4 linked regions of the Struthio camelus genome follow. The protein of the gene in region 1 purifies or fractionates together with the protein of each later gene. This does not show direct contact. Links are inferred from orthologs where the notes say so. Each region holds a gene or a part of one and is shown in the gene's direction. Other genes may lie near its edges.

What was found.
Region 2: the proteins of LIN7C (region 1) and PALS1 purify together in Homo sapiens (affinity purification with mass spectrometry; 3 studies listed by BioGRID and IntAct, counting the BioPlex papers as one, with this or other methods). This does not show direct contact. The link is inferred for Struthio camelus from reciprocal best matches to the Homo sapiens genes LIN7C and PALS1.
Region 3: the proteins of LIN7C (region 1) and DLG1 purify together in Homo sapiens (affinity purification with mass spectrometry; 4 studies listed by BioGRID and IntAct, counting the BioPlex papers as one, with this or other methods). This does not show direct contact. The link is inferred for Struthio camelus from reciprocal best matches to the Homo sapiens genes LIN7C and DLG1.
Region 4: the proteins of LIN7C (region 1) and ARHGEF26 purify together in Homo sapiens (affinity purification with mass spectrometry; 3 studies listed by BioGRID and IntAct, counting the BioPlex papers as one, with this or other methods). This does not show direct contact. The link is inferred for Struthio camelus from reciprocal best matches to the Homo sapiens genes LIN7C and ARHGEF26.

The regions. Positions count from the first base shown.
Region 1 is NC_090946.1:29,274,384-29,282,233, forward strand, and holds the start of LIN7C (protein lin-7 homolog C), read left to right. Parts: upstream 1-4,837; 5' UTR 4,838-4,874; coding exon 4,875-4,911; intron 4,912-7,850. UniProt on the Homo sapiens protein: Plays a role in establishing and maintaining the asymmetric distribution of channels and receptors at the plasma membrane of polarized cells.
Region 2 is NC_090946.1:46,765,848-46,773,051, reverse strand, and holds the start of PALS1 (protein PALS1), read left to right. Parts: upstream 1-4,195; 5' UTR 4,196-4,401; intron 4,402-7,204. UniProt on the Homo sapiens protein: Plays a role in tight junction biogenesis and in the establishment of cell polarity in epithelial cells.
Region 3 is NC_090950.1:18,055,522-18,062,569, reverse strand, and holds the start of DLG1 (disks large homolog 1), read left to right. Parts: upstream 1-4,041; 5' UTR 4,042-4,092; coding exon 4,093-4,111; intron 4,112-4,275; coding exon 4,276-4,407; intron 4,408-7,048. UniProt on the Homo sapiens protein: Essential multidomain scaffolding protein required for normal development. Recruits channels, receptors and signaling molecules to discrete plasma membrane domains in polarized cells.
Region 4 is NC_090950.1:32,963,552-32,970,999, reverse strand, and holds the start of ARHGEF26 (rho guanine nucleotide exchange factor 26), read left to right. Parts: upstream 1-4,439; 5' UTR 4,440-4,458; intron 4,459-7,448. UniProt on the Homo sapiens protein: Activates RhoG GTPase by promoting the exchange of GDP by GTP. Required for the formation of membrane ruffles during macropinocytosis. Required for the formation of cup-like structures during trans-endothelial migration of leukocytes.

The DNA.
Region 1 (7,850 bases):
ACAAAACTCCACTGTCTGAACAATTGTCACCGTGTACTGAGGAAAATGTGCTTGTGGGTGAAAACTGCACCAGCTTAAACATTATACCATCACCATTCACATACGGGAAGTGGTAAATTCTGTCATAGCGAAGTAGTGTTTGAAAAGAGTCTTTCCTTTTGTATAGACTACTAAAGAAAAGGGAAAAAGAGAAAAAGACAAAGATTTGTCATTGTTTCTCTGTCATGGAGGACTATTCTGTAAAGAGAAGACTATTGTCCTTAAAAATTTAATGATGAAAGGGTTCCCGCGAAGCTGTGTAACAGAGTGTACGCTCACTACATCACACAATAAGGTGCATTTGTCTCATTTGTATGAGGCCTTCTATAGATTTTTTAAGATATTTATGACTTCTACATATTTTATAAGTTTATTAAAAAGGAACACTCATAAGATACATACTTTCTTCTGCAAAAAAACGGATTAATTATTTTTGAGAATTAATTGTAATTAAGATTTGTTGATGCCCTGGTCTGATTCTGCTTCCTTTGTCAGCACTGTCATCAGTAAACAGCATTTTCATCTGTGCAAGAGGGGTGAAAAAAATGGTAATGACAAGATTTCCAAAAAGCAGAATAACAAGCAGGGGTTTCTATATGTCTGCTACACGCTCCCACACTTGCCAGGAGTGACTAGAAAAATTCTGAAACAACTCAAATAGTCAAATTTTATGTGGAAAAAAATATTTGGCATGGAGGTTAGGTGGCACATACCAAAAGGCTGGACTCTTTCTACACGTTAACCAGTGTGTGAGAGATTAATCAGAAAGTGTATTCTGTGACATGTAACAACCAAGCAAAAATCTGTTTTGTCACGTGAAGATAGAAAAATTGCAAGTATGGGCACAACAAGCAGGAACCACGTTCTCTGGTATGTATAAAACCCTTGACTCTGACAGGGACAACAGCAATCAATCACAGTGTGTGGCAGACCATGAAACTCACTCTGGGCTAGGCCAATGAATTAAGGCATTGCTGAAATTGCGAATACTAATACAACTGTCAGATTTAAAGTGATTAAATTCAGTGGTATTAAAGCAATAAAATTCTACCAACATGGTAGTCCTGAGGCAAAGGGATATCTTAATAACCTAAAAATTGAATTTGGACTCTCTTCACTGTCCTGAATCATAAATAAAAGTCCTATCATGGTTAATTCGGCCTGTCAGGTTTCCAAGGCAGACATTGTTCTCTGTGGGCAGCAGAGATTCCACTGCAATTTTTGTAAGTGAGTATTGCGTCCCGCTACCCATTTCTGGCCAAAATTTTTTTCTCCTCATTGGTGTATTGGGTTACGCAATTGTCAGCTCCCCCTAGAGTAACGGGCCACAAACTACCTTTGAGCAACTAGTTAGATAATTATTCAAGCAAAATTCCTTTCAGTTTTGACTTAACATTTGCCTAATAATGTTTAAAGTGCTTTGAGATCATTCTTGGCCAAGTGCGTGTGAAAATAAATATACAAATACTGTCTGTGTGGAATTTGTACCATCTGTGCATTAAAACAATGCACCAATTAGCACAGTTACTCTTCTAAAGATGTTATTGGGACCATAAAATATTAGAATACCATGTTCCAATGTTTTCTATAGCCTCTAAAGATTCTTACAGTCCCTCCTTGTGGCTAACACATACCATTGGGATGAAAAGGAAAATATTATCTACCAGGCCCCTGAGGAATGGTCCCATAAACACACAAGCATAGGCCTATACACATGAAAAATAATTTTCCAGTATAACTAAGACATAAGTTTGCACTGATAGAATTGCACTGGAACAAATGCACAGGCACTTTCTTATTCCCATTTTCATGGCTTTTTTGGTTTAGCGCATATTTAGTAAAAAAGTATTTAAGCTAAACCAAACCAAGCTACTCTTGAATCAGAATATCCACGAGAGCTGTTTGTGAGAACGTCTTGCTGCACTGCTGTAAATAGTACCTCTTTCTCATGAGAAGTTCGAGCGTGAACTCTGCACCCCAGATAAAGCTTGAATGAAAGTGAGAAAGTTCTTGAACCACTCTTCTTCCTGCCTTTTCCCTAGCTAATTCTGGAGATGTCCTTTAGTATCTGCACTCCCTATCCACCTGCCTATGTCTAACACCTAGAATAAAATGGCCCCATGGCCATGGCTGTAGACACTGTCATAAAAATATTATTAAGAACTTATGAATTAAGTAATTTATAAAGAAAGCTCATCCTCTTACTCATGCACCAAAACCTCTTCTCACCTAAAGTAAACTGTGCTTTCATCCCAAGCTAGCTCACACTAGAGACCGATTCCCACTTTTTCTTGGACTAGTAATGCAACTATTTTCCAATAAAGACATAGACAAAATCACTCGAGTATTGATATTCCTTCAACAGCAATTCTAGAGTGTCACCGCATCCACAAAAGACCTGCAGGACGTGTCTGCTCCCAGAAGTGTTACTGACAAATACTACAAATTGCAGCGTGAATGTTTCATACAGCTTTAAAGTGCAGCTGCTAACACTCCGGTTCATTCAGCAATGAGGATATAAGTACAGTAACCCTGACAGAGATTTCACAAGCAAGAATGACACAGCCAACGGAGTCTAAAATAGTAATTGAATTATACTTACAGTTAGCAAAATGCCTACAGTGAAGTTTATAGCTAACAAAATATATAAAGTGAAATGTAATGTTTACATCTTGCCTGCATCTCAGTCATTCCTGTGCAAATACCTTTTCTTAGTTATTCAGGAGGAGTACCCCCTCCCCCCCCTTTTGGGAATCACTTCTGAGACCTGTAGTGTATTTCAGGATAAGAGTTTGACACAGAAATTTTCATTTGCTGTTCTGTATTGTTTGATGATATGCTATTTGCTTTGATTTTCTTCCAAATTCTTGCCAGAATAGGGATTTCAAGACTAGGATGGCACAAATATTTTGTCACATAAATTTTGAAGCTGTCAGTATCCACCTATGCTTTTTCTTTTTCTTGAGCAAAACATAGCATGTTATAAACTCAGTAGTTAAACTCATTCTCTTCTTTGGGGCAGGATCAGACTTATGACTTATACAGTGGTTACTTCCTTGATGCACTAAAATAACTCTGCCATAACAATGCCTAGCTTTTTAACTTGGACCCTGTTGCAAATATCTCGAAGTCTGGAAAAAATGTGCTGAATGTTACCTCAGAAAGGAAAAAGTAAATGGGTATATATGCTTTTTTCTTTTTCTATATAGTCTGCTCTTTTATTTTCTTCCCCTCCTTTGTGGTCCTCCATTGGCATTCCATTTCTTCTTCCAGGGGAATATCAAGCCTGTCACTCTTCGGTTCTCCTGCAGGACATGGAAGAAGTGTACACACCAACTTTTAGCCTTTTTATTAAAAGGGACAGCAATGTCAAATTTCATTTCATAGCTTTATTTCATTTGCATAGTTTTCAGTTGGTTGAGCTCCACAGGTGTTGTGAAAAAGCAAATACCCCAAAAGAATAAGCAGTTGCTTCAATTGTTTCTTTTCCATTATTTTGTAAGACTGTAACTCCGCTAGTCTTCCTGCTATCCACAGAGCTTCTAGTGTAAAGACCTAACTTTCTCAAGTAAAAAATGTTTAGAGACAGCAAGTTCCCTTCTGGGAACAAAGGACAAACAATGATAAGCAAGTATTCAATTAGCAACGCTCTTCACAGGTCATAAACCAAAAACCCAAACTACTTCTTCCTTTTTTTTCCCCTACAGCTCACCAGTGTGCAGCTATAACTCAGTGCAGATTGCTGGAGCAAAACGTTTGAGTTGGATGGGGCTATGATGCAGACAGTGGAAACACGATATAAAATTTGCTTTCAGGTTTTATTATTCTCATAACGTTGTATTTCAGAGCAGAAAGGTCTGAATGACAGTCCGTTGTCCAGTTCAGTGGGTCTAGAGGAAAGCAGACCAGCTGTTTTACTTCTGCATCTTCAGTCTTTACTGAAGTCAAAACGACGCTACTCCAAAGATACATTTATTCTTGTCATGTGCCTTCTGGAAAAGCCTTAGATTATAGAAACGCTGCCTAAAACTCATTTTCTCCCTGGGCTCATCTGTCCAGAACAGGCTGTTTAAGGTGTCGATCACTTGGAGCAGGATGGTAGCTCTTACACCACTGGGGCACCAACATCTGGGTTTCATTCCAGAAACACTCTACACCTTCCACGGTTCCAGCTGCTAAAGCATTTTTTCTCGCTGGAAACGGGTTTAATGCTGTCCACCTGTGAAACTCCCACTCGTGTGACCTTCTCACCGAAACGCGCACACCGCATCCTTCACACGGAGGGGCACTGGCATCCAAATCAATCACAGACAGCAGGGAGAGTACATCCCTGTCACCTCGGCTGCCGCTTTTAAGACCTGTGGCTGACCGAGCAGAACCAGTCTCTTTCAAAGCAAAAAAGGCAGAACGCACCCGGGCCGACGTCGCCCGGCCGCCGGCCGCTCTAGGTGCGCAGCCCCCCGCCCCGGGCTTTCCGGGCGTACAACACCACAACAGAAAAGGCCGGGGGGTGGGGGGGAGGACAGGTCCCGGCAGATGCGCGGCCGCCGCGCTGCTCTGTGCTTTAGGCAGGCTGCGGGGCCGGCGGGGGGGGGGGCGGCTGCCTCCCCTTGCTCACCAGCCGGCCGCGCAACGGCCGCGCAACGGGCCGAGCGCTCACCGCTCCCAACATGGCGCCCGGCGTCGCCGCCCGGCAGCCGCTAGGGCCACGCGCCGGGGCGGGGCGGGGCGGGGCCAGGGCGCCCCCTGCGGGGCATCGCCCCGCCCCGCCCCGCCCCGCCCCGCCCCGCCCCGCGGCGCTGCGTCACTTCCGCGGAAGCCGGCGTGAGGAGAAGATGGCGGCGCTGGGCGAGCCGGTGCGGCTGGAGCGAGGTGAGTCTGTTCCCGGCTCTGCTGCCGCGGCCGGTCCGGTCCGGTCCGGTCCGGTCCGGTCCGGTCCGGTCCGGTCCGGTCCGCCGCTACTTGGGCCTGGGCCTGGGCCTGGGCCTGGGCCTGGGCCTGGGCCTGGCGCTGCCGAGCTGGGGCAGTCTCTCTCGGTCTCGGGCCCCAGGGACGCGCCCGGCCGGCCCGAGGCCGCGGGATGGCGGTGGCGGCCCGGCCCGGCCCGGCGCTGTGCGGGGCGGGTCTGCGCCGCCCTGGAGGCGGCGAGGGGGCAGCCGGGCAGCAGATGGCCCTTGAAAGTGTTTTCTCTCGGTGCCGGTTCCGTGCCTGCGTGGGTTGGTCTCGCTTCTCTGGCGTTTTCTTTCGGCAGGCGCCGAGGGTTTTTCTCTTGCTGGGCTTCGGCTTGTGAGCGGGTGGCGGCGGGCGCTCCGCCGGCCCTCGCCCCGACCGGCTGTAGGTGCGTGTGTGCAGCGCCCTCGCTGGGGTCAAAACTTCCGCCAGCAATTTACGCGACCAGCTGACTCCTTGTTTCTGCCTTTTCCACTGGATTGTTTACTCTTGATCAAAGCTAAATTCTTGAGTTTAATTTACTGCACTGTGTCTTAGCAGCAGGCCTTGTTTTTTTTTTTTTTTTGTACAGGAAACTTTGCATGAACAAACAAAACATTTGGTCATGAATTTTGCTTAACTCTTTACACTTTCATGTTTCTGTCTTTGGCCTGACCTTGTCGTTTTCAGTGCTAAGTTGTACTGCTGATATTGTGTAGTATGTAAGTAGAAGCAGATAAAATCCAAAACTGAATTGTCTGTTTCTTCTGTAGTACACGTCTGTGTCTCTTATCCAGCATTCTATGAAGCAATAATAAATTCCCTTCAGTATGGCTCTTCAGAATTGTGCCAAGCCCACAGGAGCTCTGTGAGGGCATCCATGTATAAGCAGTATATATGACTGGTATATTAGGATGTATGTAAAAATAGTGAATGGAATATGGAATTTTAAAAGAATAACGAGAATCAAGAATTCTATTCTTGAAAAGCAAAGCAATTATATGAAGTGTAGGTGACTTAGTTGAATTGATTATTTTCCCATTGCCGTTCCCTTTGGGCCCACCATCTTTGCTCAGCATTCTAGATGCTTCTGTATGGATGTGTAACTACATATTTTATATGCCCACTTCTTTGTGGTTGATACTGTTAAGTGTTACTCACCACAGAATTCAGTTCTTCTGTTTGTCTCCTCTCCTTACTGTTCCACAAGTAAATCACTTGTAATGTGTGAGGGAAGGTCTGTAAATAGTACAGTACTTATGTAAGAACTTTACTTCCCACTCCACAGCTTATCTACCCTCCCTCCTCCAAAGCTTGTTAATTAGAGCAGCTGCTTTGGCGGTGGATTAGTTGCTCTTGGTAGGTCTGCTGAGTTAAACCTCAGGCAGCATCCCTGTCCACCTCATTACCCTGCCACTATGCTCTACGCATGAAAAACAAATCTGTGCAGTTACTTAGGGATCAATGGAACAAAGGAGCTATTTAAAGTCTTCTGGCACGTTAGTCTTTTGGAGAAAAGAAGAAAAAGGGACTACAGTATAATGTCTGTATAATGAAGCTACAGAAGTAAGCGCTTTCTTTACAGAAATAAACAACCTCTGTTAATTCTATGGGGTTGACTGCAAATAACCTTATGAATCGTTGTCAGCATGAAAATGAGCATTACTAATGTTGCTGGCGTATAGCATAAGAAAAGAGAGGCTACCGTAGAAAATGTGCTGATTTAAAGTGGTTACCATATGCTTACTATCAGGGCAAATGAAGATTCTCCCCTTCTGTTCTTTCCTCTAAGCTGTATCACAGCCACCACCACCCAGGTTCACGGGAGTGAAGCGATGAAACAACATTTAACGTTTTGAAGTTGTTCTTTTAGCTTAGTGATATATATGATAAATCGACATACACCTTAGGAATGCAGACTATTTGAACAGAAGCAGCAGAAGTGGTTATTTAGCAATGTCTAACAATGCAATGTCTGATGTTGCGTTTTTCCTCCTTTCTATGTTTTGTTCATACGTATGCATGTGCAGAGTGGAGGCATTTTGCCGGTTTTCCACGTTCTTGGTTTAAGTGTGTTTTCCTGTCAGCACTTCAATCTGGTATCTTGTGGTCACTAAACTTGTGAAGAACAGGCAACTAATTTAAAAAAGAGGAAAAGGTTCAAAGAAAATCCATTTTTAAATGATGTGTGAGTTGAGCTTTACAATGAGTTTTATGTTTTTTATCACCTACCTCTGGAGTTATTTTTGCATCATTTCTGGCTTTGAAGGATTTTAACAAGAAATCTGTAGTGTTCATTTCAGTCTCTGGTTCTGAACAGTTGGCCAAGCTATAGTGTTAATATAATGAGGAAGAAAGCTATCAGCTGATCATATCCCAAGCAGTAGTTCAGGAGGAAGCAGGCGAGATCAACAGAGCTGTTGGCATCCCTTTCTTTTGTTCTCTGTGCACAGCTGTAAGAAGAAGATACTTTACCGCCTTTTCCCAGCTGGCTAGTTCCTTTCCAAAGCAGTAGAGCATTGAGACAGAGTGAGTCTTCAGCTTTTGATTAGCATTGCATTGCTGCATTAGTTTGGTGTGAGAAAGTTATGCTCGTTTCACTTTCAAACTAGTATAACTAGGTCCTGTTAAGGTGGTAAAACAAAGTAACTGTTGGGGGGAGAAAGTGCTGCTAATGGGATCCGTTGTCTATACCTACCTGATCAAGAGAAGCACTGTGTTAAAAGCCAATTTGTAGAGTGCCGAGTACCCAACTTTCCTATTCTGTGTGTCTGCTTTGGTTTTTTACTTCTCAGCAATGTTCTGGTCCTTTGATCTGAATGCTCATTAATGGTGCAAGTGCATCTTCTGGTTTAGTTGCATCCAATTCGTGCACACTGTGT
Region 2 (7,204 bases), about 17 Mb from region 1:
CTACAAATGAATTTCTGTTCGATTTATGAGTCTATCTGTAAAAACTGTGACCTTACTTGGAGTTGTACAATTTGAGATCTGAAGGCCTGAAGTGAGGCAGAGAATACCAGAAGCCAGAGAAGATGTTTCATCCAGATGAACGTAAATGTGAAAAGTGGTTACTGGATAGAAAGTAAAGGACAGTTCTAGGTGCTATAAAGGAGGAAAACATGACAATCTTTCTTTGAGTCCCTGGTATTTGTTGTGGTAGTTCAAGAAAGGCTGAAATGAAATTGGATTGCTCTATTAATTTCAAGGTTCAGGGTTTCTGCTGCTGGACTATGGGGGCCAAGAGAGATTTTTTTTTTTTCTTTTCTTACTTAAAACATAATTTAGCTTCTGCACTTTTAGTGATCTTTCACTCTTCTTTGAAACACTAAATACTGGATACAGCTGGCCCTACAGGTGCACTAGTTGATGTGTCTTGCTTACATGCTCAGGGTTAAACTGGTCACTAGATTTGAGGCCCGGAGAGATCAGATTGCTATAAATCAGAGCGGACAGGCCACTGTGGGATATTTTCATTTCCCCTGCAACACAGGGAGGATAGGTAGGAGAAGTCTAAGAAAGAAGGAGCTTGCTCTCATTTATTTTCAATTAAAGGAGACATTAAAATGGGAAGGGAAAAATCCTTATGAAGTCCTTGGACACAGGAGGAGAAGAGCCTATTTATATAGGTGCCAGTCATGAAATTAGAGAGCTAAAAAGAGGAGAAGACGATTTCTCAAAACCTCGCAAGAATAAAAGATCAAAAGGGAAAGGGCAGTCAAGATAATGAAGAAACAGCAGAAAGGTCAAGAAAGAGGATGGAACACAGACCCCGCCTTCAGGTAGGCAAGAATTCTTCAGGGATTCCATTAAAAATGTTTTGGCAAATAAGAGGGATCACACCAGTTTGGAAGGGATCCAAGTTGAAGTTGGAAGAGAAAGTACATCTGTTGTAGACTACATGTTCGGTGAGTTCAGAGATGAAGAGTTTAGAGATAAAGGGGAGGAGAGTAATGGGGCAGATAGATGGGGATTTCTTCTCCTCCAGCCTTTACTAACACAAGCACTGTTGCCACCGTGGCCCTTCTGACTTAGCATTCCTTTTTGCATCAGCCTGTAGAACCGCTCCTGGACGGTAAAACATAAATTCAGTTATGCAGTGATATAAAAGGGAATTTCTACCTAGTCCTTCTGTGATTTTTCATTCCCCCTCCAGAGGGCAATGGTTTCAAAGAAAACAGTTGGTCCTATGTTAGCCTCAGGACTCAACTTCACTGTCAGAAACATTTTTTTTTATTGATTACAATCAGCCAGATTTAGAATGATCAACGGTTATAGGAGTACCCTGCTGGGAGACAGTGATCCTAACTCACTTAAAAGTTATTTCATCAAAGATAAGCATTTTCTTTGTAAACGAATTTGTTTGCGGAATGAAAGAAGGTTCTACTTTAATAATAAACTAAGTTGCTTAAATACATTGGTTCTGTAGCTCCAAGTATGCTTTGATGATCCCATAATGACTGACAGTAAAGCCATTAGGAAGTGCATCTCTAAAATCAAAATGTTCAGGCTCCAAACTCATAAAAGGCCTCAACTGTGTGGGTATTTCTTTTCCGATTATCTTTCACCTGAAGATAATCATTAAAAGCTTTGAAGAAGAAGGGATGGAACAGCAGAGGCAGTACTCTGGTAAGTAATTTTCTGATTTCCATTAAGAATTGTCTTAGTAGATCCTCATATCAAAGATCAGTCAGCTAAGACAAAATAAATAGAGACTTTCCCCATCATTTTTCCATTTCCCTCATCTTCCTCATTCTCCCATTTGTCCTCTTTCTTTGTAGCTCTTGTTTTTAATTTGCCTGTTTTGTTAAATTCAAGCTGGAATGTTGGTTTTCCCACAGCAATTTTTGTGTTCTTCAGCATACTAATAAACAGTACCCACAAGGCAAAATGAACTGGCATTTAGATCTGTTCATTTAAATTGCTATCACAAAGATTTAAAGGAAAAGGTTATCTGGCTCTTTATGAATAATGCTGCTGATCCTGTGCGCTATTGTGAAACCTTTTTCAGGTATGACAATTTCTTGGTCTGAGAGAACATTTTAATCTGTTGGGTAGAATTAGCCAAGCATGCCTCATTCAAGCATCTTATGAATGGATTTGCCAGCTGGGCAAAGGCTAATATTAGGGTTTGTGAAAGCCTGAGGGAGGAGATTGGTTACCAAAGAAACAAACGCATCTTTAAGCAGCTATATTCAAGAGAAATCCCAAGCTCAGCCTTAACCTGGTCTGGCAACCCTTGAAAAGGATTAAAACTTTAGCTACAAATATAAGATAAGAGAACAAAGGAGAGAAATAGAAAATCTAAACTGGTGCGAATGTTTCTCTGATCTGTGATAAACTGCGTAACATTTTGAAGAAAACTCCTGTGTTTAAAAACTGGCTTTGGGCAACACACACACTAGAGGCACTGAGATTTTCACTGAGAGTGACAAGCTGTCAACTGAGGGAAGCTGTAACCAGAACTTGTGGCTTTTTTAGTCTGTTCACACCAAACTTTGATAGAGAAAAGAGAGTAAACCAGCGATCGGTTTGGATGAGGATGAAGACGAGACCACTGAATAGCCAACTGCTAAACGTAGACACTTTTTGTAGCTATTGTAACCTCTAAGCAAGTATCAGATTTTGAGGAAGTCTTTTTTGGTTCTCAGGTCCTTTCCCAAAACAGTGTGTAAAAAAGGGTTCACGTGAACCCTCACCATTTTCATACGAAGGTGGAAAGAACTACTTCTGGTGCTGCTCAGCCATGAGTTAGTACTGTAATGTTCTCCCTCCGTTTCCTTTGCAAAGTAAGTAATTCCACAGTCCACCCATATTGCTATTTCTTGTACTGCTTCACTTTTTCCACTCCTGCTCACTTGATTCAAACGCCCTTGTTACTGAACAAGGTCAGAGCTGAAACAGTTGATTCTGATAGTGAAGAGACATTGCTGCTCTGAAAATGAAAAACTCCAAGGGAGCCTGAGCCACAGTGTGAAAAGGTCTTAACAGTGTCCTCTGCAACTGACCGGACAGGACGTACATTAACGGCAGGTCTGTTGGCCATGTCATATGCTCAGGAATCATGGAATCTGGTTTTGTGGCTTAAACAGAGAGAATCTGCGTGTTCAAAAGGGATCCAAACAAAACATGGTATAGGAAGGCAATTTATAGGAAGTTAGAAGTGTGGATTTCATAACTGAAAATGATAGAGTTGTAATGATTAAACTGAAGCAAGAAGAGATGGGCAAAAAGGAGGTGTCTCTTTAATGGCTTTTTAGTGGCCTACGAAACTGTTTTTTCTGGCCTTGTTATGTGGAACTAGCTACCTTGGCAAGGTCAAGTCATCTCAGACTGCTGTATTTCTTTTAATGCCTCAGGCAACGGTCTTCGCAGGCTAGCCTGAAAAACAGGGGGCGGGAATGCAGTTTTTAGTTCAAAGTCAAACTAAACTGCAGCGCTGAAGATGTATTTCCCTGGTCTCGTAAAGCAGCCACGGTTATAGACCTGGTAAAACCGTGTTTAATGACCTCTTCCCTCCACTCCAGACAGCGGGTCTGTGCCTGACCCTCTCCCTGCTCTTCCAAAGCTGAATCTCAGAATAAGCATTTTTCTTCCCGTAACAGTCCGACTCGGCCTTCGGCTGGGATTGCGAGGCGACAAGGGGAGACGACGGGCAAGGAAGGGACGGCGGCGGCAGGCAGCGCCCCGGGCCCCCGCCAGCCCAGGCTGCCGGCGGGAGGCTGCAGGGCGGCGGCGGCGGGCGCAGGCCTCGGGGAGGACGGAGCCGCCCTTCAGGGAGCAGCGGCTCCAGCTGCGGTGCCCCGGCGCGACCCAGCGAGCGCCGCGCAGGGGCGGCACACGACGCCGGCGCCACGGAGGGCCTGGTTTCCGCCGTGCCCCCCGCTCGCCTCTCGACGCGAGCCGCCTGCAGCCCTCGCCCGCCCTGGAGTGACCATGACGGCAGCCGTTGGCGGCCGCCGCCCTCCCTCAGCGCCCTCCCCTCCCCCCTCCCGCGACGCGCCCCCTCAGCCGGGCGGCTCGCGCGCCCCCGCCGGTTGCGGCGGGCGGTGGGCGGGTCCCGCGCGTACGTGCGTCGGGGGGGAGGGGGCGGGGCGGCGGCGGCGCTGGGAGCGGGCGCGGGGGCGGGGCCGGGCCGGGCTGCGTTTGGCGGCGGCGGCGGCGGCGGCTGCGCAGCTCGGTGGGGCTGGAGCGGTAGTTGTGTCTGTGCGTGCGCGGGCTCGGCGCGGGGACGTGCGGGCGGCCGGCCGTGACTCCCAGCCGGTGGCTCGGCCGGAGCGTGACGACGGCGGCGGCGGCGGCGAGGAAAGGACGGTGAGCGCAGCCCGCGTTGCGGCGCGGAGCTAACAGGTCCCGGCGGGCAGCCGCCAGCCCGGGCTGGCTGCGGAGCCTGGCCGGCGGCCCTGCCCGCGGCGCCCGCACGGGCCTGCGCCTCCGGCCGCGCCGCGCCGGCGGCCGAGGCGGCCCTCGGGGGGACCGGGCAGCGCCCTGGCCGCGGAGGGCGGCCCGGGGGGGCGGCCCTGGCCGCGGTGGTCGCAGGTGCCTGCGCCGTTGCCGGGAGCGCGTGGGGCGGGCGGCGAGGGGGCCCGGCTCGCCCCGCCGAGAGCTTCCCCCCACCTCCGCCGCCGCCGTGCCGGGGCGGCTGGCCGGGGCAGGCGTTGCGAGGGCAGGCCGAGAGGTGATAGGAAGCGGCTGTTCTTCGCTGTGCTCTCCGTGAGGTGGCAGGAGTGGCCGTTTTGTTTGGGTGGGGGGGTGGGTGGGGGGGTTGTTTGCTTTGTTTTGGTTTGGTCGGTTTTGTTTTTGTTTTCAATAAGGGCGCACTTAATGCTTCTCTCCCTTCTTGCACTTCCGATCTGCCGGCAATTCCGTGTTTTGGAAACTTTTGTCTCTGTAAAGAGACCGCCGGTTTGTGGAGCTTCGCAGGATTAGTTTAAAGTAGGTTGAGTATGCCCTGGACTGCCAGTGTAGTTTAATGATCTGCAGTGGGGAACGCGCGTATTGGTGAGGGCGCGGCGGTACTCTGGAGGCTGCGCTGGGAACGTCCCTGCCCCGGCGGTGCCCTCCTGCCGGGAGCCCGGGCAGGGGTTGCGCGGGCAGGCGGCAGAGAGCACGGTGACTTGGAGCGTGCGACGTCAGCTTGCGCGAGTACCTTAAAGGACTTTGTATTTGGTCGAACTGAAAACTGTTGATATTTAAAAAAAAAAAAAAACTGTCCAAAATAATGACTTTAATGTCTCATAGGTGAGACAGACATTCTGGGGGAAAAAATTGAATAATCAGGAATATGAAAAGGGGAAAAGTCAGCTTGAAGCCCTTATAATTGAAATGTTTGGGCATAAACTAACTGCATCAGTTAGAAAAATACTTGTGTTTTGCATAACTGGACGTTGTAGTCGAGCTTTTAAAAAGTGACTGGTGTTTTTCTTTAAGTGTCTGCCGCGTTGGTGCGCAGCTTCAGGCGTCTTGAAGGGGCCTGTCTGTCTCTTTGGAGAATTGGGGTGTTTTTCCTGAATTTCCTAAGAATAGGATATCTTTGATGTGTCTCTGGTTAGGCGTCTGAGCCTGTAATCTTTTCTTTTTGATCTGTCATCTGAATTTTCACAAATGCTACTTCTTTTTTCTCATAATCACCTTAGAACTGTAGTTACACATTTAAATGTCCAATGCTGTAGAGTGTAGCTGTGTTTTGTACATATATTAACTGTTTGCCAACATACTGTGATCCAAAAACCCTCTGTATTTTACATGCTAAGCTGATGGTTTAACAAAGCATCAAATATTTATATTGCAGCACTTTGTGAACCAGTGTACTACAATGTTAAATTTAATTAACATTACTCTTAATACACGATCACTCTTTTCAAAGTAGCCCTTTCAAACTTTGCCTCCTTCTAATGTGTATCATGTGTCCTTACGGAGTATGGAATAGTTATGGGTGGTAGTTTGTGTTCTGTAGGAATTAGATGATGGTAAAGGTGGTGTTTTTACTTAAATTTTACTGAATTTGCTTTCACAAGATCTGAACTTACTTTGAAATGTAAATCAAAATATTTCTTCAGTAGGCTGACTTAGCTGTCTTAGGAATTTGCAAGAATTATTCAGACCATTGAGGGGTGCCGGGCAAGCAATATGTGATGTAGAACCAGTAAAAATGTAATATGGAGGTTAGCCTTTGTACCGAGGATTATGGACACATAAAACAATGTAATCTGAAGTTTATGTGTGTCTGTATATTTTTTTCCATGTAAATAATTATATTTTCATAACACTTTATTTGCTGCTTTGTAATCAAAATCTCTTACTATAGTGAGTTTGAAGTTGCAATCTTTCAAAAATCCTGCGGCATTTGTAGATGTAAATTCTGTTATGATGTTTCCTTAAAGACTGACGCTTAACATCAAATAATAAAAGTTGTAACTACCTGTTTCAACTATTCAGATTTCCCTAATTTGCACTTTTGATTAACTACATTCCTAATAAAATATTAGGCTTTAGAGTTCTGGTAGCTAAGAGTTCAAACAGTCCGCTGCTCCTTAGAAAAAAGGATCAGTATTTGTGTTCGTATGTCAAATTTAAAGTTCTTAAACTTTGTAGCATCTGGCCATTTAAAAAAAAAAACTTCTTAATGTGACAAGTAGTATTATAGAAAGGCTTGATATTACGGTGTTTGGATAATGGGCCAAGTGAGGCATTTGTGAATTTGAAAAGATATGCTGGTACATATGTGATGGAAACTGACTTGGTGGAAACACGGCCTATTCTGTAATTTTAAATCAGGTGTGCTGTAAAAAGTATTTTTCTAGTATAATTATCTACTGAAGCGCTTTATCCAGCACAGTGCTTTATCCAGTTCTGGCGGAATAAGTGTTTTATGTTTATGTCCTCCTCCCCACGCTTCTGACATAACTATGTAGTGAAATACTTTAAATATAATTCAAGTTGAAATGTGAGGCAGATTTCTAAACAAAAGGAAAAAATTATAGCCAGATAAGTTATTTATATGCCAGGATATTTTCAAATAAGCTTTTTTCTTTTTAAAGCAGTTGTGATATACTATGCCTATCTATTGATAGACACTTGTTTTATAGTCCCGAGGATGTCCAATTGCATACTAATG
Region 3 (7,048 bases), on another chromosome or scaffold:
AGACATTAGAGAATCTAGACGAGGTGAGGCATAATAAGCTAACTTCCTTCAGACTTCATTCCTTATTAGCCAGAGGAAATTAGGCTTCATTACTTTCATTGCTCCCCCAGTTAGCTGTGCAACATTGCATTGAGCTGCAAGGGAAGTGAAGTGAAAGCTTTCTGCAGCTGTCAGAGATCCTTTTATGAGTAACAATTCCCAGTTCTGCATGAAAAAGTGAAATCATCTGTGCCGTATGCTTATATGGAGACTGCTTTTAGTCTGTAGGCATTAAGCAGATGACAAACATAAGATATACAAACGATTAACTTTCTTATTTTCAAGTTTTTTCATTAGTAACCCCAATATCAAAAACACCTGAGTTTACAGCAGTTCTTTTTGCCGAAGTTACCGATTCTGGCAATATGCCAGCTTATGCACTCGTGTCCAACTTGAAATAAATAATTGTACCATTATTTAGTTAGTTAGTTTACCTCACCTTCTACTCTAATGCCCATCCTCCCTAAACAGAGTTCATCTGAGCTCATGTTTTCTGGGACATACTGGTTATTGCAAACTGCTGCAATGTGGTGACATCCGTTGTCCTCTTTGTCCTGTTTTCTAGATGGCCTTTGCTGTGTTGATTGCTGCAGCGTGTGTGGATCTAGCTAATGTTTCTTGAAGTCTCCTGATCTAAGCTTGTCGTACCTAACCAGCTACTGCGTGTGGTGCCGGGGCAAGCCAGATTTACTTACATTCCCATCCTGAGTGGTCTACGCGGCCATCAACATGTTCCAGTGGGACTCAAGGCTAACAGGGTAAGAAGTTGGAAAGCGCCCCCTGTCCCCGCACAGTGAGGTGCCAGCTATGCAGGTGTGTGGAATGGCACAAAGAGCCATTTCCAAAGCAGCTTCTGGCAGCGAGTCTGCCCGAGGAGCGAGTGCGCAGGCAGGTACAAACCCCCGGCTCGGGTCACTGCTGTGATCATTTTCAGAGCAGGTACCTACCAACAAGCTCTGACAGTTTCTCAAAATGAGAAAACATTGTCTCTGTTTAATTATGGGTTTGTCAACAGGGTTTACTAGCCTCCTGCACACAGCCTGCACACAGCCTGCTTTTCCCTTCGTGCATGGATTGTGTGGGCTAGGATCAAGTTATGAATATTTCTCCACATCTGGGCAATACACTCGTGTTGTGTCTGCCTCCTGGCTGTCCCAAGCTGCCTGCTCTCGCACAGATATGCCCCAAAGCACAATCTCCTTGAATGAGTGGAGCAATGCATGCCTTGTGGCAAGTCTCCTGCCCTTGCCAAAGGTTCGGTCCCAGACAGAGGGTCCCACACAGGCTGCTGACAGCAGTTGCAAAAGAAGGATTTTAATGGCGGAGGAGAGGAGCTGTCTGTCAGATCCCCGGCTGCTAATGTGGGCAAGAAGGCTAGAGGGGAGGCAGACACTGCTTCTTGGCTTAGTTCTGCTGGAGTTCTTATCCCAAGGGTCGCTCTGGACTCCAGCCAAGATACGTTGCGCTCAGCATAAAGCTGACTTGTATGCTGACCACATCAGTCACAAATTAAGCACAAGCCTTTCTGTATGCTGCCTGTAATTGTTTAATTTAAATTATATTGCTTAAACCGTGGCATAAATGATGGTCTGGTTCGTATTGAGTTTTCCCCCCTCTCCAAGGGAACTACCCAATTTTCTGAAAACTGGAGCCTGAAAAATAAGACGTGTAATAGAGGGCAGCTTTATAATACAGGCTCTTACTGTAATGTGCAAATATAAGCGTAGTCATTCATTCACGGGATATTTTCTATGTATGCTAGGTGCTCAAAACCACTTTGTATACTGAAGTTTAGTACTGTGCAACCTGGTTCAACCACTTTCAGCCAACAAATATACTCCTAGAACTGAAACAGAAGTGCCGGGAACCAACACCACTCTCTGAGGTGCAATAAGGTTCACCTAATTGCTTCCTGGCTTGCTGATCCATCATCCTGACCCTGTCTTTGATGTGTGTTTTTCTTCCCAGAGCATTAGTAACAAGCGATAAATACTGTTTCAAGGTGCTGTATGGGGTTATTTCCCCATTCCCAGCACAATGAGTATATATTTGGGGTTATCTTTTATTTAAAATAAAAAGCCTTGGAAACATCAAATCCTGCTTATGAAAGAGTAGTTTGTTTCTTATGCTGGTACCTTTAATTGCAAAAATTTTCTTTTTTTTCCTCTATAACAATACTTTTCTGTCGCTCAGCAAACCACCCTAACTGCTGCAGATGTCTTTCTGCTAGCTAAATTTAGGCTGTTCTTCCTCTCCCTCTGTATACATTTCCCTGACATCAAGAGGACTACGGCCCCTTTAAAGTACATTTATTGCTGCTGTAAACAGTGGAAACTGAAGAGGCCAAACAATGAAAGCCTCTGCCAGTGCTCCTTCTTGACACGTTTTCCTTTAAAAATACATGTGAACTGGTAAAATTTCGTGCCAAAACTCTGAAAGTATGAAAATATGACAAGAAAGGAGGAAAGTGGGAAATGTGTGTCAGTATACATTAAATGTATATTATAATGTGTTTTCTTCAATAAGGTATGTGAACAATTTCACAGTACATAGCTGCGGGGGGAGGAGAAACTGCTAGTGCAAATCTAACTAGGAAACATGGGAGTATTGGAGAATGCAAGAGAGGCCTTTCCCAGATCTGGGTTAGATTTGTTGCAGGGTAAGTTTTCCCTATTTTAAGATTAGGACCACAGCCAAATCTGGTCCTGATTTCCAGACTGATCTTTTCAAATTTGCATGAGTTTTCCAGATGTTTTTTAGCTACCTGGTTTAAGCTCTTGTACATTTTCAGCTGTATCTAAATCCAAAAAAAAAAAAAAAAAAGCGTAAAGAGAGATGCAAGCCTGGATCAAAAATCACATCAGCGGGATTTGCTTTGAACTTCTCAGCATCTGCCTCTCCTACGCACACACACGGAGTTTGCGGTTTTTCAGAGCCGAGGTTTTTCTGCTTGAGCTTCCACCGGCCCGAGAAACGAGTAACCCCTGGCCGAGACAGGCACTGGAATTACCTCCAATCAGCGTTACTACGTGTGCGTTTGCCCCGTTAACGGGTATATCGATATCGCTGCAGGGATCGTTTACGTGGCGCATGTTTCTGACCGCGTCGCTCGGGGCTCGTTCCGTCTGCTGTCTCTCCCCCGTCACAGCAAGAACCTGTTTGCGCCTCCTTTGAGGGCGCCTCAGCGCAACAGGTAGACGCCGGTGAGCAGCGCCGGGCCGGGCCGCCCGGGAGCCGCCGCCCGCAGCGCTAACTAACGGCTGCCTCGGCCGGCCTCTGCGGGCTGCTCCCCGCGGCCGGTACCGGGGCATCGCCAAACTTCCCCGTGCGCCCCGCTCGCTGCGGGAGCGGGCGCGACCCGCCGGGGAGCCCCGCACCTGGGGGGGGCGGCGGGCACCGCGCCGCGGTAACGGCCGCGCCGAGCCCCACCGACCCGCCGCGGGCTCGTCAGGCTGCCGCCGCAACGGGCGCTCCCGGAGCGGGGCGGGGCGGGGCGAGCCGGGGCGGGGCGGGGCCGGGTCCCATGGCCCGCGGGGCGGGGCGGGCGAGGCGGGGCCGGGCCGCAGTGCCCAGCGCCGGCCCCTTTAAGGCGGGCGGCGAGCGGCGAGCGCTCACCTTGCCTCCTCCTCCCCCCCCGCCTAGGTACCGGCCCCGAGCCGAGCTGTGCTCTGATTGGGCGGTCGCCGGGCCCGGTCACGTGGGGGGGTGCGCTCCCCATAGCCGCCAGGCCGCCATTTTGGCTGGAAAGTTTGGAATTTCCGAGCGGCGCGAGCGGGAGGCGGCGGCGGCGGCGGCGGCGCGAGCGGCCGTGAGCCCAGCCCAGCGCGGCCCGGCCCGGCCCTCCCCTCCCCGCCTCTCTCGCGAGGCGCCGCGCCGCGGCGGGCGCGGGCGGGAGCCCCCCGCGGAGCCGCTCGCCGGTCGGTCGGGCAGGGAGGCAGGCGGGGCCGGCGCCGCGGCCGCCTCCGCCCGGCCGGCAGGGGGGGCCGCGCCCCCCCCCCCCCCCCCACGCTGCGCCGCGCCGGGCTCAAAGTTTGTGAGGCGGCCGGGAGCGCCATGCCCGTCCGGAAACAAGGTGAGCGGCGGTGGCGGCGGGACGGGCGCGGAGGGCGGCTGCCGGCGGGGGCGAGGCCGCGCTCTCGGGGCCGCCGACAAAGAAGCGGCCGGGCCGGGGCGGCGCGGAGGGCGGCGGCGGGTGCTGGCGGCGCGCGGTGACCTGTGGCCGCTCTCCGCCCGCAGACACGCAGCGCGCCCTGCGCCTCCTGGAGGAGTACCGCGCCAAGCTGAGCACGGCGGAGGACCGGCAGCTGCGGAGCTCCATCGAGCGCGTCATTAGCATCTTCCAGAGTAACCTCTTCCAGGCGCTCATAGGTAACGGCTGGCTCCTCTCGCCTTGTGGGCGTGCAGGCGGCGTTGGCGTTGACTCGCCCCTGCCGGGAACTCGGCGCTGTGGTGGAAGCCGGGTGCTTTTTCTCATTGTGTTGTTGTTTTGCATAGTAACGCACGTGCTGTTACAGATCAGCGGTTCGTTTGCTTTAAACAACTTGCCTTGCTCTTTTGACTGGCCCGATCTGCTTAAAGCTCTGCAGTCTGGTGCCGTTGTTTCTTCTGGGACGTGCCGCTCTAGACTCCTTAACGCAAGCTGTTTCTCCACTTACATCTTTTATCTGCCTGAACGATGTATAGCAGTGTTCTTTCCTGTGCGTCGTTATGTCACAGGTTAGTGAATGAGTTGAAGTAGTTTTACTCTAAAGTAGAATTTGGGCAAATGTTCCTGGTCTAAAAACGTCCCAAAGTTTATATTTGGAGTGCAGGGCTAACTTAAAGTGAATGAGAAGAAAATTCAAATCTTTTGGGGAAGGCTACCGTTTTCTCTTTCACAACACTAGCAGTAAATGAAGGAAGACATTACTGATTCTTAGTGTAGCGTACTTGTAGTGCTTATTCACTGAAAATGTTCACATAAGTCTCGTTGAAGTACTTGTAGGTAGTTTTGACTTACTTGCACATACACCTGCTTGGAAAAAAAAACGGAGCATGACTATAACTTGTAGAATCTTGACTTTGTTTTGAAACTTTTACGGGGAAGTGTTAACTTAAAGATAATGACACCTAATCAACGAGAAACTGTGTGTCAGCTAAAGAGTAAATGTTTTACTCTTTAGAGTAAACTAACAAAACTCTTAAAGTTCATTATCCTTGTCTTTTAGTAAATGGAGTAATTAATCTGTATCTGACTTCTGTAGAAACAAACATTCTAGCTAGCATGAGTTTACTTTTGTTACTTGGCATTTACATAACTTGTTGCATGTTTAAAGTATCAGATGAGTGTGCATGTCACTTCATAGTACTGACTTCTTTGAGTCTAAATTGTGTTGGTAACATGGGGACAGGCAAAAAACATAAACATGCGTTGCTGCATTTGGAATGTTTTGTTTGGAGCATTTCTTTATTCTCGTGTAGTTTTTCAGAGGATAGTCACCTTGCTGTGTTTTTGTGAGATAAGTTATTGAAAGCTAGTTGTGAAAACAGGTCAGTTCAAGAAATCTTGTACTTCAGAAGTGTTACGTGTTTCTCTTCAACAGTCAGTTGATGGTAGCTACTCCATGGTGAAAAACTAGTCTAACCTTTGTGGGATGTGTTTAAATAAGATTCACTGGTGGATCAACATGCTGAAGTCTTGCGTTAGAAGCTTGAAGTGCTGCAGTCAGGCTTTTTATTTTCATCCTGGAAATTTTCAGTGTTGGTTGCCATTTCTTCTTCATTGTCTTGAGGATCCATGAAGTACTATGTGTTTTCTCCCATTCATTGAGCAAGATACTGGTCTATTTACATAGCATTAGCCTTTCATATTGTAACCTGTAACACGTGCTTTCTTATATCCACATAAGAATTCTCATCAGCTCTGTGCTTAGCAGTAAACTTTGCAACCGCATATTTGCTGGCTTCTTTCTGCAAGAACAGAAAACGGGAATGGTGGTGTTGCCTGGGTGGACTATGTAGCCTTTTCCTCATCTTATAAGAAGTTGCATGTTGCAACCATTTGACCCCAGTTTTTCTCTGGTGTGGTTAATCTGTGCATGCACAATAGGTATATGCTTCTTTGCATTTACAGATTGATTGAGCATACACACATACACTCCATAACAAGAAATCATTCAAACTATTTCTCTGAAAGATGGTAGCACAGAAGACTTGCTTTCTAAGCATTTTATGCTCTCAACCTCAGTCTTTCTCCTTTTACTCCCCCCGCCCCCATGGAAATACATCACGGGAGTTCTTGGTAGTGACAGGCTATTGTTATTCCTGGAAACATCTTTGTGGTGTGACTACTGCATGATGGGGTGAGGAGCAGGTTGGAGCAGTGGGGACTCCCTGGAAAAGATGGTGTCTGGAGGATGGCTGCAGTTACTGTGAAGATCTTCAGCCTGCTCTTGCCTGCCCTCTTTCCTTGGACAATTGGGAGCAGGCTGGATAAAGGTTTTGGTTGTGCTGCACGTTAGATTTCCCTGGAATACAGCATTTTTCATTACTTCATAGTTGATTCTTAAGTACAACTCTTCAAGGAGTTGGGATGTGTCTGCAAATTAAACATCCAAGGCTGCTTTGACAGCAAGATGCAAGCTCAGCTATGAAGTTACTTCTCATATAGATACTTATTCTGGAAAGCAAGCTACTTCTAGTTTCTGAATTTTTAGAAGAATAATAGTAAAATCAAAACACCCTAATCATTTGTCCCCTCTCTCTTTCTTCCGAGTTGATGTATTGAGAGTTGCCTGTCAATGATAGGTGAGGATGTTTGTGAAGGCTGCAGTCAGTATCTGCTGTCAGCTTCATGCGTCCTTTTTAGTACCCCAGTGTAATAATGCCTGGTACTCTCAATTAAATGACTACTCGGGCCTTTGATTAAAATCAGCATGAGAAGTAGTATTAGTTTTAAGTCCTGTTGTATACTCTCAGAATTATGGTATCTTTTCTAGCTTATATTTTCTTGATTGTAGTTAAAATAATT
Region 4 (7,448 bases), on another chromosome or scaffold:
GCTTAGCACAGAATTGCTGCAACTCTAATTGAGGATATGCTGTCTGACCAAGAAGAAAAAGTTGCAAATATACTTTTTTGAAAACAGTAGCAGCACTTGTTTGTACACCACAGGCATGGATCTGACCATAGTCAGTCCCGTTGCTCAGAAAGTCTGTTGAAGATCTTAGTGGAGTGTTCTGGAAGGAAGCTTGGCCGTGGCTCTTAGAAACTCCCGTTGCCTACTTTCCTCGTGCTGAGAAGCCTGTCCTTATTTGTAGAGTCTTAGAGAGGTCAGAATGGTCCACGTTCAGGAAAGGTCTGCCATTAATCTGAAGGAACTGGATCTGACCTTGGCCTCCAATTTCATTACAAATAATGGATATCTTTAAAAATGTAGATGTGAAGGCTTTAAAAATTGTATTTTGAATTGCAAAAGAAGCAAAATCATGTGAATCACCTGTATCCAAAGAAGATTCCAGGGATTTTGCACCACAGCAACTGTGCCAGTTTCGGCAATATAAGAATAAGAACTGAAGCCAAGTAAAAAGAAAATACAATTTCTGTTTCTGAATCACATGATCGTTTAACATTTATAAGCTCCAAGTCAGTACCATAAAGTGGTGCTGGAATATAGGGGGAAGGAAAAAGGGGAATGGAAGAAATGGAAAGTTAACATGTAATATTTCAATTCTTACTAGGGAGTAATAGCTATCATTTATTAAGAAACAGTTTTACATTGCTCTGTGAAGCATTTTCTATGGCTTTTGAAGTTCTGCTATTAATGCAGAAAGAATTTCCTTTTGTACCGAGTTCTTTCTCATATGCAGTCTGTCACATGGTCAGTGTTGCCTTCTGATCTTTGTGGGCTGTCTCTACCCGTGCCTGTATCTTCCCTGCAGCGTTTCTCTTAAACACCTGTCCACACTTCTTTCTGCCTCGTACATCTTTAAAATCTGAATAATCCTTTGCCAATGTCCAAAGATCATCAGAGGAACTGAAAAAAGGATCATCATTTTCTCCCTTCCCCCCCCCCCCCCTTTTTTTTTTTTAAGCTCCCCACTTGGGTATGACCGTTTAGGGTTACGGACAGTAGCGAACACTTAATGCTTTCAATTAAGAATTTTACAACAGGTGAGGAGGGACTCACAAGCCAGGTAATAGATCCAAGAAGTGCCACTGACTTCAGAAGCTTTATAGAAATCATCAGCGCTGGAAACTGCAAATACTAAATTAGTCTTGTGTGATGTGCTAATAGCTAGGCTGGGCCTGTGTACTGCGCTGAGGAAAAGGTGGAGTTCAGCTCTTCAGCGCTAAGCGGGCCCAAACCAGGAATCTGCCACTTATATATTAACCCATTCCTCCCTGCTCTCTTTGCCAAAAGTAAGTGCTGCTGTACTGTAACCTTTATCTGCCCCGCGTTCACAAACCCAAAGATGCACGCGCGTGCACACAGGGTGTGTAAGTCTTGGCCTCAGGTCTCCGTTGTGCTTGAGGGAAGAAACACTGATGACAGAGCAAAACTAAACTCAATGTATTCAGTGTCTACTTTACTGTTAAAAGTGAGTGAGGAACCCCAAGTCAGATTGGTTACTTTTCTTTTATCTCACCTGTAATTATTGTTGAGTTTGGCTTTAATGTTGCAGGAGGATAAATGGGAAAGAAGCCTGGATTTGGCTTAAATTTGAAATAGAAATGCAACTGCAAACTCCTAAGTTTCTTTCAACTCAGAAAACCTATATGTAGGCCAGCCAGCAGCAGGAGTACACCATTAATACAAATCTAAAGAAGGTGACGCTGGCCTGGGCTCTGAGGGAGAGCACGGAAGTGTCTGCGCTGCCCTGTGCGGCCTCCTAGGGGAGATGCATGCAGCTTACCAGAGGACGCTCTGGGTTGTGTCTGCAACCGGTGCAAGAGACTGAAAGCAAAGTAAACTTTGAACTAAGCTGAGTAAGTGAGAAGGAAGAGCTGAAGACTCCAGAGATATGTTCTTATGCAACAAATGCATTACCCAAAGTCCTCAAGTGTGGTGGATAGACAGTTAAGTCCTGTGGTAGCCTTTAGATGTTCTCAAAGACTCCCTGGCCTAACAGTAAGTTACCTGCCTCAACATTTGCTCTGTCTGACACTAGAATACCCCATGTTTGGTACCAGCTGAGAAATGAATCAAAACTTTTTGATAAGTTACACGAACTTCCTTTATTCTGCACTTGGACTGGCTGTGACCATACAAGAACACCAGCTCATATGAGCTGGCTGTGGCTTCACAGCTGTTCAAATCACAGTCCCAACATGTAATCAATACTGTAGCTACAGCTGCAGAAATTCCAGAAATTCCTGCTCTTGGTTGCCTGCAATGTGAATCAGGATGTGATCCCTAGGAAAATTGATGCTAATACTGTTATCTGTTTATTTGCTTCATCTCAAAATAAGCACTTAATTTTCTTTAAAGAAAGTATGTTTTGCCCTAGATTTATTAGAAAATACCAAATAATGATATGATATAAACTTGCATAGCTCTGTGATGTCAACAGGCACTTAATTACAGGGTTTATTTCTGCATTACTTGGAGGGAGGAACTGCTGCTTTGTCATGGACAGTAAAGCAGATGGATACTAAAGCATATGCAGTAAGCCATATCACTGTTTAGTGATTAAACTGTAATGTTATATTTTAACAAGTTTATATTGTCTTAGTCTTTGAATCCAGTCTACTATCACTCATAGTGATGACTTTAACATATGTCGCCTACCTGAATTTCCTGTTCCCCCCCCCCCAGTGATAGGTACCCCTTTCCAAGATTCTCCTGGTAAAACGTGGTTGACTGTAAACCATAGAATAAGTGACTTCTCACAGTCCTTTTAAATCTCTAGGAATTTTATTTTTAATTTCAACAGGTGCACTGTAGTTTAATGGAAGAAAAAAAAAAAAAACAGTTTTCTTCATCCGTCATCTCTTTTCGCTAGCTCTTAGCGAATTACTAGAGAATTTGAGTCCAGATGCAGCCCCTTAGCTCCAGGGATGACACTTTATATAGCATGATGCAAAAAATAACCCTTAGCTGTAAGTGCCACGCAGTTGTTAGTCACATGCCATTTTTCTGAAGGATTCTAGAATGCAAACTCTTCTTGGATTTCTGGCACATGACTGCTTTGCTTTTGTCATTGTGAGTCCTGAGTATTTCAGAGATTAAAAATAAGATAAACAGCTCTGTCTAGTGGCAATTTCAGTAACTACATCAGAAAGATATTTCTAACAGAATTCAACCCATATGTGTTGAATTAAATGAGTTTAAAAATAGCCAGCTAGCCTGTGTTTACACATGACAAAATGCTGTAGGTACTTCTGGAGTTAGACTGAATAAACATATAAGGCCAGATTCTGCCATTAGTTTTTTCCTAGTCCTTGCAGGAGATTTGCTGCCTTGTATTGTTTTGAGGGAAAACCAAATAAAAATCCTTGACATTTTGCTATTTGTAAAGCTGTGGTTGTAATCTGCAAGGCACTGTGATTTGCCTCCCCCCCAACACACACACGCTCCTTAAATAGTCACTGCTGGATGTTCAACGTCAGTCTCATGCTCGCAAGCTTGTGGTTTAAGGTGGAAACCTCGTAGGAACAAATTTCATTTTAGCTTAGATTTTTTGTGAGTTCCATGACACTTCCATATGTAGTTCTTAACAAAAACCACATAAACGGGTAAGTTATTCTGGACCCCGCCAGAAATTAGGGGAGGGGGGAAAAATCACCTGCCTGAACATTTTTGAGCCTGAAAAGATTCTGTTTCAGACCTTCTCTGAAAAATAGCACCCCATTTCTCGTGGGCTACTCTCCTCCTCTTGCGCTCTGAGAAGTGCATCATGCCAACGACCATGGGGCCCAGAGTCACGGCACCCCTGGGTAAAGCTGCTGCCGGGGGGGAAGACCCATCACCAGGAGGAGCTCCTGTGCGCAGCAGAGCCTGGCTCAGGTGGCTGCTGGTTGCACTCCTGTCTGGAGGAGGCCACAGAGGCAGGTTGCTGTGGTTTGCTCAATGTTATCTGTCCACGCCGTTGCTTTAGGTTCTGCCTGTGGCAACACAGCTTGCAGAAGAGAAAAGCTGTTTTGGCACTGGTTCTAAAGAATAGATGAATATATCATGGCAGCCTTCCCCAGAACGGTCATTTCTGGTCAATGAAGCGCAGCTCTGGCAAAAAGACAAATTGCCCTTGATCACTCCTGTTATCTCACTTACTTCCACCTGGGGCAAAGCTCCAGCTGCAGCTGAGTTCCTGCACGCAGCAGACCAGAGCAGCTGGGAAGGCAGCACCTCTGGGCTCCTGCAGGTACCTGGGGGCAGTCGCCAGTGCTGTCTGCTCGTGGCTGCTTCCTCTGCATGAAGAAGCAGGGTCGAGCTCTGCAATGCCTTGGAGGAGGCAGTGAAAGTGGGGCCAGTGCTCCCTGTGGGAACGCACCGGCTGAGAAGGAAGAGCCTTGTCAGGTGAGAGGCAAAGGGTGGGCCAGAAACCAGCAGAGGAGTAGGGTGTGGAGAGGGCGGCTAACTGGCAAGGAGGGGCTATCAGAGCTAGTAAGGAAAGCATACTTATTTTTAAATAATTTTTAATATCATCATTTCACTTACTGTTTGACATAATGTCATTAATGAAGCTGTGTCCCTTTAGGCTTTTTTGTTTTGAAGGAAACTGATCTTTATTGGTACACCAGTGATGTGAGATACAGTCAGCTTTCCTAGTGAGCCTCAGTTATGGGAAGAGTGGGGACCGCTCATCTGGACAGCTCTGTAGGCATCTTTAGCTTGCGATGGAGAAAGCTCATTCCCTTGATCATAAGCCCTGTCTACATTTGCCAGAATTTCTGATTTAATGAGATTTAATAGATAGAAGATTTATAGAATGTGATTTACGTTTTTTTTTTTTTTTCTTTTGCCTTCTGGCGGTGTTTAGGTATTAAAAAAAACAGTTAGAAATAGGACATTAATATGTCTGCCTTTGTGGAAAGATTGTAGCTGCAAGTATGTACGTTCAAGGGTTATAATAGACTGTGGCCAAAGGCTAAACTATGTATTGGTAGTTTATTTTATACAGTGACTAATAAATTTATCTAACAACCTTCAGCATATTCTTCACAGTATCCCTTTGGGTAGCTTGTTACCATCTGAAGGAAATTCTAAAACTTTTAAGAAATTTGGAATAACTTCAAATCTTCTCCAAAATGTCACTAAAATGTGTTGTTTTGGGAATACCACAATGTTTTTACAGCAACGTTCTGCTTCAAAGAACTTCATTTAATCTCATGATTTTGGTATCATAAAATTATGTATGATATAGGAAAGAAACAGTACAAATAAACTGGCAGCTGTTCTATTAACAACTTCGAATTCTCTGTTTGAAAAGATGCTTCTATAAATGCCTAAAAGGGTAAATCAGACGCTTGCACAGATACTGCTACTTGTCGTCTATGCTGAGTCATTATTTTGTTTAAGAGCATGGGTCCTGTTAAATGAAGGCTAAGTGCAAGCTAGTTCGGGTGCACCTTTGCATACACAGAATCATTTGAAGCTGCCAGAGAAATGAGATCAAGGCTGTGACAACAAATTGCAACAAAGACAAAGATTCTTTTTCTACAGCTTGCTTGCAGAATGCTCTCTGACATGCTGTAGAGTGCAAAGCTGTCTCTCCTCCATTTCTACCACCCTGACCTGCATCAATAGACTTAGACTCTCAGGTTTCCCATCGGTAAGCACTGCAAGCTTTAGACGACAAGTATTTTTCATGAATAAATTCTTACTTTGGAGTTAGGAAAACAATTATCGTTTATAGTAAGATTGGTCTTTGGATAGAACATGTCTGTACCATGGTAATTAGTTAAACGTGAGAGGCGATTTTTATTTTCTAGCGGTCCATTTGCTCACGTGGATGAAATCCTACTTACATAAAGTAAGTAGACAAACAGGACTTACTCCTCAGTTGGAAATAATCCTACTGATACAAGCGCTTTTATGCCATTAGGTTGCAGAAACCTTTTTTGAGCTTCATCCTACACTATATATTCTGATATAGTGAAAGCAGAGTAACCTTTGAGGGCAGGCAAAACGAAGTACTGCATTTGAGAGGCAACCTCTTCTACTTTGTCCCCCTGGCTTTCTATATCTAAGGTTTTGCCTGGGGTCTTAAAATATGTGGTCATCTTGTCCAGTGATCTGTTAATAGCAAAACTAATTCTGTCAAGGTTAGATAATCCTGAGGTGACAGAAGCAGCTGCAAGGTAGGGTGCTGGTGATATCTGCTCTTTTGATTCACACTCCGTACCCCTGGTTTTGTTCAGCTTGACACAAAGGCGGTTGGCTGGCGTTCCACTTCTAGGCGATGACAGGGAGCAGCAATTGCTTATCTTATTTGCAGATGACCAGGATTTCCCAGGCTTTTGGATGCAAACAGTATTGGCTCCGTATCTTGAAGTTCACTTAGTGTTGGACCCAACAGTCAGTCAGAATCCATCCATGCTCTAATTACAGACAGGATTCAGAATGGGCAGTTTAGCACTATTACACGTCTTGAATAGAGCATGTTGTGCGGACACTGTTTGCACTTAGTCCTTAGTAATTACCAGGTCCTAAGATGTTACCTCTGGTCTGTAAACTTTAACAGCCAGATACCCGCCTACCTCTGTCTTACTTTTCTTGCTCTGCCATACTCAGTTGCGCGCTCATCAAGATCAGAGATTTCTGAAACCCGGAGCCAGCCCACTGACCTCCTCCGTACCCACCTATCCTTGATCTCCTTTAATTGACTCCTAGAGAATGTTTCAAAGCATACCTTTTTTTTTTTCTGTATGATGTTGATAAAGAAGATTTTTCTGTCAAAAGGGAAAATGAATCTGAAGGGAGAAGTTGGTGAAATTCGTGGAATTATAATTGATTTTGTGTATTTGTGTAGGTATATACATACGTATGCATCTATGCAAAGTACAGCCTAGATCTGAGGCCAGAACTGCTTCTATTAATTGTGGTAAGTCAAAATAAGTAAACAGAAATAATAAAGGGATTGCACAAAGCAGTGTGAGGTAAAGATTCAGCATGCTAGACTGTCTACTGACTTCAGTTTACAGTAAGAGCAGAGGTCAGCGCCTAAAGATGGAACGTGTGTTCAGTAAAAGTTGCTCAAGATTTCAGATGAACTTCATTCATACCCAACAAAAGCAGCAGATAGCATGTCTGTGCTGCATTAAGAGGTTAGAGGTAAAAAGCAGATGCTGTCTAGATTGCGTAATAGCTAGCACAAGTCTTATATATTTAAAGCCTCCTTGAAAGAAGGACGCTGTTTTTCTAGCAGGGCAAGCTCAAGGCCAGCAGGCAGGGACAGCAGTAAAGTTGTGGCTAGTTACTTGAAAGAATCATGTGCAGCAGAACTTTTATGTGAAGTCTAAACTTGTATGTCTTTCTGAAATTTCCAATGAAGCCAACAGAATTTT